Linked DNA regions of Drosophila melanogaster. The protein of the gene in region 2 interacts with the protein of the main gene of each other region in a biochemical or structural test. Each region holds a gene or a part of one and is shown on either strand. Other genes may lie near its edges.

The links.
Region 1: the proteins of pygo (region 2) and His3:CG31613 form a complex in vitro, tested with the Drosophila melanogaster proteins (2 studies listed by BioGRID).

The regions. Positions count from the first base shown.
Region 1 is NT_033779.5:21,422,782-21,426,829, reverse strand, and holds His3:CG31613 (histone H3), read right to left. Parts: upstream 1,638-4,048; 5' UTR 1,581-1,637; coding exon 1,170-1,580; 3' UTR 1,109-1,169; downstream 1-1,108. Other genes in the region: His4:CG31611 (histone H4), read left to right, coding at 1,881-2,192; His2A:CG31618 (histone H2A), read right to left, coding at 2,667-3,041; His2B:CG17949 (histone H2B), read left to right, coding at 3,268-3,639; His1:CG31617 (histone H1), read right to left, coding at 4,046-4,048.
Region 2 is NT_033777.3:31,574,423-31,582,833, forward strand, and holds pygo (pygopus), read right to left. Parts: upstream 6,278-8,411; 5' UTR 5,531-6,277; intron 5,464-5,530; 5' UTR 5,209-5,463; coding exon 2,882-5,208; intron 2,591-2,881; coding exon 2,470-2,590; 3' UTR 1,413-2,469; downstream 1-1,412. Other genes in the region: gammaCOP (coat protein (coatomer) gamma), read left to right, coding at 1-302, 379-564, 623-775, 834-964; rod (rough deal), read left to right, coding at 6,601-6,696, 6,759-7,096, 7,186-7,533, 7,594-7,793, 7,858-8,066, 8,122-8,411. UniProt on the Drosophila melanogaster protein: Involved in signal transduction through the Wnt pathway.

The DNA of each region.
Region 1 (4,048 bases), on a different chromosome or scaffold from region 2:
TTTTAAAAGGATGTAATATGGGTTTTGAGACTTTCAAATGTTGATTGAATTTTTATATTCAAATTTTTAACTGGACCAATTTATAAAAAAACATCTAATAAAATAAGAATCATTGCAAATATTTCACTAATTCGTTATGTTTATTAAAATTGAAACGTTCATCCCCTAGAAGGGCTTCTGAAAGAAGCGTCTATTATTAATTAAGATACTTTATTACTTGATTTAAGTTCACATTGAACTACAGAAAAATTTGCTTTAAAGCAGCATTCAGAAATAATTTTCGATCGTTAAAAATACAGATACTTTCTTAAATAACATAATATTAATATAATAAATAATATTTTCTTAAATTATTAATGTGTTTGCTTGTTATTAATGTGTTTTCATGCATATTTTAAAATAATTTGTTCTGAAATCAATCGATTTCCTCGCCACATATGCATTACCGTCTATGTAGTCAAATAAATAAATCAAATAAAAAATAAAAAGAAACAATTTTTGTATTATCCTTTATTATGTAATATATATTACATTCCGCAACAAAATTAGCCAATTTCCGTGCTGAATTTTACATAGGTTTTATTTTTTACAGGCGTTTGAAGGGACAGTGTCAATTGTCCCGTACGACCTCTTCAATAATAACACTTTCTTCAGTTAACACATGGAAAAAATATAAAATAGCTAGTTTTATTTTATTATTTTCTGTTATTTTATAAATATTGCCGTCATCAATGTAATTTCATTAATTTCAAACTGTCTTACACAGAATTCAGATTTTTTTTTAGATGTTTAAGGTTCAGAGTCCCTTGCCCCGCACGACACTTTCACTGCTTTAAAGGATGTTCGCACAAAGAACAAATAAAAATATATATTTTTATATATATTTTATATTTATTAACCTCTTCTTTAATTTAATAAATGTTGAGCTGACAATTAAAATAAGATTATTTTTATTCCTTCTCTGGCAGAATTAGTATTTTTACATATGATTTAAGACCCAGTACCGTTTGCGCCATAAATAATAGAATATGAATTTTGTTCTTATTTTTTTTAAGTTATAAATAGTCGGCAACAGAAAATTTTATCTCATTGAATCTGGTTTGTGGTCCTGAAAAGGACCGATTATAGAGTACGCTAGCGCTTTATCTGCAAGTTAATGCCGTGTCAGCTTAAGCACGCTCGCCGCGAATGCGTCGCGCTAACTGGATGTCTTTGGGCATTATGGTGACACGCTTGGCATGAATGGCACACAAGTTGGTATCTTCGAAGAGACCAACCAGGTAGGCTTCGCTAGCTTCCTGCAGAGCCATAACCGCCGAGCTCTGGAATCGCAAGTCCGTCTTAAAGTCCTGAGCGATTTCACGCACCAGACGCTGGAAAGGCAGCTTGCGGATTAGAAGCTCGGTGCTCTTTTGGTAGCGACGAATTTCACGCAAGGCCACGGTTCCAGGGCGATAGCGGTGGGGCTTCTTCACACCTCCGGTGGCTGGAGCACTCTTGCGAGCGGCCTTAGTAGCCAGTTGTTTGCGTGGCGCCTTTCCACCAGTCGATTTGCGAGCAGTTTGCTTGGTACGAGCCATCTCCGATTTGGGTTTCACTAAAGTTCACGTTCACTACTTCACGTTTGAAAACACAATAAACGATCAGAGCATTTGCTACCTACTTATATAGCAATCGTGGACGGTGAAAGAGAGAGAGAGAGAGAGAGAGAGAAAAACGGAGGCCATTTCATTTGACGAGCGAAAAGCGAACGAACATATCGTTCGTACTCTCTCGGGTTTTTGTCGTTTTACCTATAAATAGGGGCACACAGAAACGTTGAAATTAGTTCTTTAGTGACTTTCGTGCTGTGCGTGTATAATAGTATAGAACAGTGAAAAATGACTGGTCGTGGTAAAGGAGGCAAAGGCTTGGGAAAGGGTGGCGCCAAGCGTCATCGCAAAGTGCTGCGTGATAACATCCAAGGTATCACGAAGCCTGCTATCCGCCGTTTGGCCCGTCGAGGCGGTGTGAAGCGCATATCTGGACTCATATACGAGGAAACGCGTGGCGTTCTGAAGGTTTTCTTGGAGAACGTAATTCGTGATGCCGTGACCTACACGGAACACGCCAAGAGGAAGACAGTTACAGCCATGGATGTTGTGTACGCTCTGAAGAGGCAAGGCCGCACCCTCTACGGATTTGGCGGTTAAAAAGTGTACATCCTGTGTACCCCTATTAAGCAATCGGTCCTTTTCAGGACCACCATTCAGTTTTTAAAAGGAGGAAGATTTTCAAAAAGTATTTAATTTTATTGGTCGGGACTCCCAAAAAATATGTTAAACTAAAAATAAATGTCTGTCGTTCGTACTCTTTTAAATAGAATGTGTATTTCTAACATGGATTTGTACAGACTGTACAAATGGTTTCAGACACCGCATGTACAGCATCACATCGTGGTGTGCGATTGTTTAAAGAAGCAAATTATAGTTTATACCGCATATAGTAGAAAACCCTTACTACATTACCATCTTTACGTTAATAATTCTTTATGATTTACTAATTACAACAAATTGCCAAGCTAAAAAATTTTTCAATTCTTTGGTAATAATTTGGTCGTCCTGAAAAGGACGGTTTGATTGACGATTTTATGTACATGTAGGTTTTTAGCTTAGCCTTTGAAACGTTTAGGCCTTCTTCTCGGTCTTCTTGGGCAACAGAACAGCCTGTATATTAGGCAACACGCCACCTTGTGCAATTGTGACGCCGGAGAGCAGCTTGTTTAACTCCTCGTCGTTGCGGATGGCCAGTTGCAGATGACGCGGAATAATTCTAGTCTTCTTGTTGTCACGAGCAGCATTGCCAGCCAACTCGAGAACCTCAGCGGCCAGATATTCCATTACGGCAGCTAGGTAAACTGGAGCGCCTGCACCAACACGCTCTGCGTAGTTTCCCTTCCGGAGCAAACGGTGAATACGGCCCACAGGGAATTGAAGACCGGCACGGTTTGAGCGGGACTTTGCCTTTCCCTTCACTTTGCCACCTTTTCCACGTCCAGACATTTTGCTTTGCGTTTATTTCACTTAGTTCACTTTACGCACGGAACACGAATGCTCGCCTAACCCAGACAGCGAAATATTTATACTTTTCCGTTTGCCTGCGCATTCAGTTAGGGGTGGGTGACTTAGACCTGAATTGACTGCTCGAAAAAAAGTATAAACGTGAACGCGTTCGGGCCCACATTACGATAAGTGAATTGTGTTTGTGAAAATATAAGTAACGTGAACAATGCCTCCGAAAACTAGTGGAAAGGCAGCCAAGAAGGCTGGCAAGGCTCAGAAGAACATCACCAAGACCGACAAGAAAAAGAAGCGCAAAAGGAAGGAGAGCTATGCCATCTACATTTACAAGGTTCTCAAGCAGGTCCATCCTGACACCGGAATTTCGTCGAAGGCGATGAGCATAATGAACAGCTTTGTAAATGATATTTTCGAGCGAATTGCTGCCGAAGCGTCTCGTCTAGCTCACTACAACAAGCGCTCGACCATCACCAGTCGGGAGATCCAAACGGCTGTTCGCCTGCTTTTGCCTGGAGAGTTGGCCAAGCATGCTGTCAGTGAGGGAACCAAGGCTGTCACCAAGTACACCAGCTCTAAATAATTTTCTCCTGCGAATGCGGACAATAATCCAAAACGGCCCTTTTCAAGGCCACAATGTGTTATACCAAAGAAATGCATTTTTCAACTACCAATCATCGAATATGAATTTACAAATAAAACTTATTTACCCGCAATATGGGTAATTGGGTAATGTTCAAATAAATACAAAAAAATCGGGAACGAAAACTGAATGCGACCAACATGCAATGTAATTCATGACATGAAACGTTTTATTGTTGCTGCGAACGTCAGCTAATAAATAAGTGGAAGAAAATAAAAGTTTTTTTCTCTTGCAACGGAACGTTGTAGCCCTGAAAAGGACTTGTTTAAACAAATTTCAGATCTATAAATCATAAATCTAAAATTTTAATTGCGAACATGTACCAAATACTGCACTTTTTCACAATTTA
Region 2 (8,411 bases):
GCTGCCGGGCATCCAGGTGCTGGGCCCCATCCATCGCAGCACAGCTCCCATCCAGCTTACTGAAAGTGAAACGGAGTACACGGTGCAGTGCATCAAACACATATTCGGCCAGCACGTGGTCTTCCAGTTCGATTGCTTGAATACGCTGTCCGACCAAATCCTTGAAAATGTGCGGGTGGAACTCACGCTGCCGGAAGGATTCACAACCAGGGCGGTCATTCCATGTCCCAAGCTACCCTACAACGATCTGCAAACCACTTTTGTCATCGTAGAATTCCCGCCCGACGCCGCCAATTCCATAGGTAAGTTTATAAATAACATAAATTTTGTATTAAAATCATACAACTTTTTTCAAAACGAACTATTTCCTCATTTCAGCCACCTTTGGTGCCACTTTACGATTTGTGGTCAAGGACTGCGACCCCAACACCGGCGAGCCGGAGTCAGAGGAGGGCTATGACGACGAGTACATGCTAGAGGATTTGGAGCTGACGGTTGCCGATCAGATACAGAAAACCAGAAAGAACAATTTCCAAGTGTCCTGGGATGCGGCTGACAGCGAAGGTGCCACAGAAAGATAAATAGGGTCTATTCAATGATTAGTAATACTCTATATTTGCAGAATGGCTACAAGCCGAGGATACCTTTGTGCTGTCGGCAGTGACCACCTTGCAGGATGCCGTCAACACTATAGTCAAGATCCTGGGCTTGGGCGCTGCAAACCTCTCTGAGAATGTGCCCGAGGGTACGCACCTGCATACGTTGCTCTGTTCAGGTAGGCATCCTTCGCTTTTAGTTCTGAGATCAGTAGTACAGTTTTTCCCCCTTTACAGGAACCTTCAGAGGCGGCGCCGAGATTCTTGTGCGGGCCAAGCTGGCGCTTTCAGAAGGCGTCACGCTCAATCTGACGGTGCGCAGCACGGACCAGGACGTGGCGGAGCTGATAACGGCGGCCATTGGATAAGACAGCGAGCCATGCAGGAACCTCCTTTGGTTCCTGCGTGCTGTGAACGTAATCTGAACTCCCTACGAAACTACGAAACAGAAAGTTACGCCTAATCAAAATATAATTTGTACCTTTAAGCGACTGTCTCTGTAATAATCTTAGAGCCCTGTCCACAATCCGGCATGTGCAACATTGAGTATTGCTACTGGCCATTTCCGAAAAGTTTGTGTGGCGATGCAGCCTTCGGTGTGCATCGCATATGTTTATTATCCCCATTTAGCCTGTGCATTTAGCTTAAGTATGGAAACAAAATATTAAAAATACATGTATATGCAATGCAACCCGACCTGAAGGCGTTTATTTGGCAGGTGCTTTTAAAGTAGGACATTGAAATGATTTTAATGATTGCAAGCTCGTGGAAACCGCACCTCCAAAGAGAAATTGCTTCATAACTAGAACTTACTTTATTTTATATGGTATTTTATTTAATTATAAATAACTTATAGTTGCAGTAGCCTAGAGTACTTCTTGTTTTCCTATTTTTACAAATTTCTTTTCTCGTTTGAATCGTTTATGTTCGCTGCGTCCTCCACATTCGTCTTAAATTACAAATTAACCTTTCTCACATGAATTCATAATTTCTTGTGCTTTTGTTCGCAATCGATTCCTTATTATACATTCTCCGATTCCGACTATGCTGAATATTTTTGTGTAAAATGTATCGACGATGCAGTTCCATCAATCGTTCGAAACGCTCTTCCGTATTAAATATTTAAAATGTAAACGCACACAAGTATAAAAATAATATAGATTCGTAATAACAAATAACACACTCATGCAGTTCGCAGCAATTTCACAATGATAATTTCATTTCGTTACAACTCCTATACTCATCTCCAAATGTGTTGAATATGTCATTAGATATATGTTTATATAGTTACGAGTGGTTGGTTGTCTGTTGTGTTTCATGCGGATTTCTCGCCAGGCGAGTGGTATTCGATTGGAGATGTGCACCATCATCCCGCCTGGCCTGCTCTTCAGATTTATCCATTTTCTTTTATAATACAAACTAGAGTGCTTCTCAGCTTTCATTCCGTCTTCTTGTTGCGACGTTGTCCTCTTCGATCGCTTCACATGCAGACGCTCACACACAAATTACAATTATATTACAATTAACATATTTCGTTTACACTTTTCGTTAAGGTTTGCCTTGCTTATTTGTTTCAGGAGCACGCCGCGAGTTGGCCAGGAAGCCCGGAGCTCAAATTCACAACACTGCTCCGGCACTTTAGTGGTTCGCATTCTGGCTACGGGGCTTAGCTGCCGGGATGGGGACTGGTGGGTCTCTGGATCGGTCGCGGTCTTGACTATTGAGCAGCTTAAGTCTTACAATTAAGATAGAGTTAATGCTTGGATATTTTATACAGTGAGTGGTTGGGTAGCTGGTGCTGTTGCTTTTGCTTTGCTCTCGCTTTCGCTGGTGGTTGATCGATGTGTTTTGCTGATTTCAAATCCGATCCGCTTCAACACTTGAACTTGACCATGGGAATATGCTTGGAAGACACGCACTTGTCGCAGCACCACTCGGCAAACACCTCCTTGTTGAGCATTTGGAAGGCCGCCTCTGTCAGGCCAACACAGGTTCTGCAAAAATGATAGTGGAGTTAGTCGACGACGAACATGAATAAACGAAAACACCTGACTGATTTTATGTATTAATTGAAGGGTAATCCCCTGTTAACTTTGAACTAGAAGTGATAAGACTAATTGCTCATGAGATTCCAATAAACTTTCCTAAACATTTTGTTCCGAAAAGATAATTATCAGGATATAAGCAGTTTAAAATATGATGATATGGACTAAATATTGTTCCTAGATATTTATATAATATTTTCTATTTGACCTTTTTAATCTATTGTAAACTGGTCGACCTACCTGTGAAAGAAAAAGTTACAACCGGATTCACAGAACACGGCTTCGTCGTTGTCGTTCACCTCCTTGTGGCACATGCCACAAGGATATATGGGCGGCGCATTCGGGTTCTGCGGATTAAAGACCATTGGCTGTCCCGGCGGGTACATCTTCCCGCCGCCCATTGTCATCGGCTTGGGACCTACGCCCATAGGGCCGCCCATCGGGCCACCTCCCATGGGCCCCATGTTGCCCATCGGTCCACCGGGACCCATGGGACCTCCTCCACCACCGCCGAACATATTTGGACCTGGGCCGCCCATCGGATTGTGGTGGTGATGCGGATGTCCGTGGTGCGGGGACATGTGCGGATGCGGGGGTCCGTTCATGCCGCCGGGTCCGGGTCCTGGACCTGGTACTCCACCCATGTGGCCGTGGCCCATGTGCGGACCCGCGTTCCCGTGCGGACCGCCCATCATGTGCGGATTAGGTCCTCCGCCCATATGAGGAGGCATTCCAGCAGGACCGCCGTGCATTCCGGGTCCACCCATCATGTGCGGCGGTGGTCCGCCAGGATGATGGTGCGGATGATGCGGGTGGTTCATCATATTCGGATGCGGGGGACCAAGATGGGAGGGTTGCTGCGGTGGCAGCATTTGGTTCATGCCCATTCCGGGCATTGGTCCGGGCCCGTGGCCAGGTGGGCCGCCGCCCATGTGCTGCTGGTGCTGCATAGGAACTGCGTTCGGGATCATCTGGCCCATCATGGGTCCGTTGTTGTTATTGCTGTTGTTGTTATTGGGGCCATTGGGTCCGGCTGGTGACTGCAGCGGGCTGGGTCCCGAGTTGGGCATGCCCGGACTCGGGCCGGCGCTGTTTAGCGAGTGATGCGGTGACATGGCGGGCGGCGCTGGCGAGGATGTAGGCACTGACGTGGACATGGACGTGGCCGTCGATGTGGGCGTGAGCGTGGGCGTGGCGGGCGAGGGAACCGATGAGGAGGCTACCGATGATACCGAAGGTCCATTCGACTGCATCGACGTCGGCACTCCCAGGCGTCCGGCTGCTGGCGAGAGGTGAGGATTTTGATTGTTGTTGCTGGCGTTACTTGTATTGCTTCCGTTGTTGTTGCTGTTGCCGCCGCCGGGATTCCCGCCGAGCATGTTGTTCCCAGAACCACCCGGGTTATTGCCGTGCGCGGGGGAGATGCCACCGGGACCTACTAGGCCGCCAGGCCCAGGACCTGGTCCTGGGATTGGTCCTCCAGGCATGTGACTGCCATGACCCGTTGGTCCGTTTCCGAGCGGACTGTGCAGAGGAGGAGGACCCATCTGCCCGTTGTTCATCGGTGGCTGCGGAGGTTGTTGTTGTTGCTGCTGTGGTCCGCCGGTATTGCCGGGATTCCCAGGGCCCGGTCCCGAGGGAGGGCCCAACGGGCTGCCAATTGGATTGCCCATTGGCGAACCCATAGGCAGTGAGTTCATTGGCGAGTTCTGCCCCGGACCGCCCATCGGTGAACCCTGCATGGCTCGCGGATTGGGTCCGTTGGGACCGCCTCCCATGGGCGACAGACCACCCATGCCCATGTGATGGGGTGATATGCTGGGGCCTCCCATTCCGCCCATTGGGCTCATGCCGCCCATGCCAGCTATTCCACCCATGGGACTACCCATTGGGACGGGTCCTCCAGGACCACCAGGTCCCCCTGGCCTTCCGTGATTCATATGCGGCGGTAGTCCGACGCCTGGTCCCGGTCCCATTTGATGGGGGTGCATGGGGCTCATTCCTCGCATTGGAGGTGGACCACCCATGTGCGGATGTGGGCCATGTGGGTGACCCATAGGTCCGCCTGGATGATGCGGGTGCATATGGGGATGCATGTGAGGCGGGGGAGGAGGTCCACCGCCCATGCCCATGCGGTCTTCCCAGTGCGGGTGCCCACCCGGTCCACCGCCGCCAAAGTGACCACCTCCTGGTCCGCCGCCCATCTGATTCATGGCCGCCATCGCCGCGGCCGCTGAGCTGGACATCGCCGACACCTGGGGACTGTCGTCGAATGGATTCGAGGCAATAATGGTGTCTCCGAAGCCTCCCATTGGCGGAGGGGGCAGCAAATCCTGCGGTGTGGGTGGCGCCTGCTGCTGCTGCATGGAATTCGCAGCAGCTGCTGCAGCCGCCGCCGCAGCCACCGCTGCAGCGGAGTTGGCGGCACTTGAGGTTTTTCGCCGCTTCTTCGGATTGCTCGGCGCCGAGATGATGTCCGTGGGAGGCGGCGGCTTAAAATCGGGCGGACAGAGTCCGCCCGCTGGACCCGGCAATCGATATGGCGCCATACCAAGATTGTGGGTCATATTCGAGGTGTTCTTCTTCCGAATGGTGGCAGCTTTTCTTCAACGGCGTGGGGCAAGAAATTCGGTTGTAGCGGCGTCGCCAATCCCGCGCAGGAGATCTCGACGCTGGTAAAGGAGTGGGTTTGGTTCTGATGTCCCTAGGGAGGTGGGCACAAATCCACTGGATCCTTCGGTGACCAACTACAATGGGTTATGCTTGGTGGGCTTGGGCTTTCTGCCGGTTATCCGGCCTGCGACCGCCTGGAGTTTGAGTTCCTGGGAGTGTGAAGGGTGCCAAATGAGTATCTGGCATCCTGTGGGTCAGTCCTCCTCAACTACTCACCAAGACATCTCCTGGCCAGGACCCTTATGAAAATCGCGTTTTTAAAGCAACTGACTCCCAAAACGCAGGTAAACACTTTCGGCGCAACGAACGGCAACCCCGCTTATTTTTCGGGTTGGCAACTCTACCCTGGAAACCCAGCGTCGTGTTGTCTCGTTTCAAAGCGCCAAGCACCTGCCGCTTCTCAGTTTCTTACTGATCCTTGATCACTTCAGGTCAGGAGTTCGTTTTTTTAGCACTCTGCACTGCGGTTTGCCACTAATTCCCCTTCATAAACCCTTCAAAGGGCGCTTTCTGGCAGCGCTCTTCTTCTTGCCAGCGATTTTATGTCCTCCGCTGCGCTTCCCGTTCCGTTTTAATTGCAGTGCAGCGCTTAACTGTTGTTTATTTACGGGTTCTTTTTGCGTTTGTCTTTAATCGGAAAACAAAACAACCGGCGGTTATTTCCCAAGGAAATTGTGTTAGGGTTTACGCGATTTGTGAAGCCTGCGTTTTCGGTTGGCTTTTTGTTGATTTGATGGCCACTGCAGCATCCACTTTTAATTAGCGCCGTTTATAGGAGCGGCACACGCACGGATTACCGTTACGCGGATTCGGCGGTCCGGCGGACTGACCACTGAACCGTTATATAGCAGCAGCACATTAACCTTTGTTTATTTTGACCAATTTTTGCGTGCGAAGAAGCGAAATATAAATAATTTTCATTGCAAGTCCGCCAGTGTGACCGTTTGCGCACGTCAAGAGAAATGCCGGAATTCCGTCGGCGGCTCAGTGTGGCCAAAGCAAGCCAGCACGAAGTAGTTTGCAACTACGTTAACATTTAAAAAGTAATAGGTTTAAAGGAGAAATTACGATTTGGACATACGTCATTTAAGTAATAAATATAAATTGCGTAAACGTATTAGCCCCAAGGTCAATACGTAGTGTGTCTTCATGCCGCCAATCGTCTATCGATATGCGGGTAATGTTATCGGCAAACTCTCAGGCGACGCTTGTTTATTGGCGGTGTTTAAATAAAGAGTTTAAAATTGGCAGGTTTTGCACATTAGGCTAGAGCGGATTGAACAGCAATGTGGAGCAACTTCGAGGCGTCCTCCCTGGAGGACGAAACCATCTCCAACATATTTTCGTCGCGAGGCATCTTCCAAATAAGCAGTGAAGAGGAAGTGAGTCCTTATTGTGCAGAATCTGCAGTTGGGTTTCTACGCTCGCCTTCTTTCATTGTCAGGTAAACAAATATCCAGATGTCATGGCCTCCGTGCAGTGCGGCAAGATGGTCATTGGCATCGACAAGAGCCTTTTGCTCCTGGAGGACGAACTGGTGGCCAAGTGCAGCTTTCTGGCATTCGGGGCAGCCATTGAGGCCATTGCCATTTCTTCAAGCGGCAACCTGATTGTATGCGGCCTCAGCGATGGCGAAGTTCACGGAGTGTTCATCAAGGGCCTGCTCCTGTTCAGCGTGGCCGTCAATCTGGAGGACGTGAGCCTAACTGGCGGGACCTTCCGGAGCATCCATCAACTGGATCAGCGGTTTTACTTCACCTGTAAGAATGGAAGCATCTATAGGTAAGCCATTCACAGAGATGGGCTCTGGCATATGCGTGATAAAACTGGATCTTGACATTATTTCATTAAACGATTCAAACGCTGTGTAGCTTAAGCGACATTGATGAGACCTGCTTGGAAACGTTAGGCAATATGAGCCTGAATGAAAACGAAACTATAGCTTGCGAAAAGGCCCTGCTCGAGGACGTCACCATTCAACGTCTTTCCAAGGGCAGATCCTCGTGCAGCGTGGACTGTGCAGTGCTGCTCAAGCGGCTGCTGACCGGCAACATCAGTGCCGAGAACAATCAGGATGATCTGGAGGCGCAACCCGGTCTAGTTATCACTGGAGATCAAAGCACTATGAACTTTAGGAATGCAGCCAATGACGTGACACGAATAAATTTGCCCGCTCAGTACGGCAGCCTAAAGCAGATCTTCAACTTGGAACACTATATGTGAGTGGGTTTGCTTATTGTGGTGCTAGAATCCCTCTAACGTGTATCTGGGTTTTGCAGTATCGCACTCACCGATTCCGGCCACTTGGTGGAGATTTGTCCATACACTCGCACAGTGTACATGTGTCAAACTACCCAACAAAAAAATCTGCTCATCGAGGATCTGCTGGTTATGGAGTGCAGCGAAGATAACATTGAGCTTCTGGTGCTGACGAAATCAACGGCGGAGGGACGCTTCATTAAGATAGTGGAGTACCCAAGTATGAGTCCAGCAAACATAAAACATAAACATACAGTAAGGCTAAAAACCTTGTGTCATTGCAGCGCTCAATGTGAAGAACGAGGTAGAAGTTCCTGATCACGCATGGCTTGTGCGTCAGCCTAAGTGTGCGGTCAATCTGTATTATCTGGCTGCCAAGGAAGTCAACCAGAGCAGCATACCCTCCGTGGTGGAGATGATGCTCGTTTCCGAGACCGACCCCAGTGATCGTTTTAAGAAGCTGATTTGCAAGGGGCGACTGGAGGAGGCTGAGGTATTGAGTATAATTGATCTCTTAGTCATTCATTATCCATTAACATTTGCAACAGGAATTTGGCAAGCAGTTTGAGCTGTGCCTCCAGCCCATCTATGAAGCCAAAGCGAAACGCATTTTGGTCGAGCTTTGCAACTCGAATTCACAAAACGTGGACACTAAATTCCAAGACTTGCTGCAACTGCTGTCTCAGGTGGAAAGTAAGGCATTCATAAAGAGCCATCGCATGATCAACTTGAACTCGAGGCACATCCTTGAGCGGTATCTTCACGAGGTCAAGAAGCGGTTGACTTTTGAGGACGACGAGGAGGATATGTTGGAAATCGACGAGCAACTGCACCGACT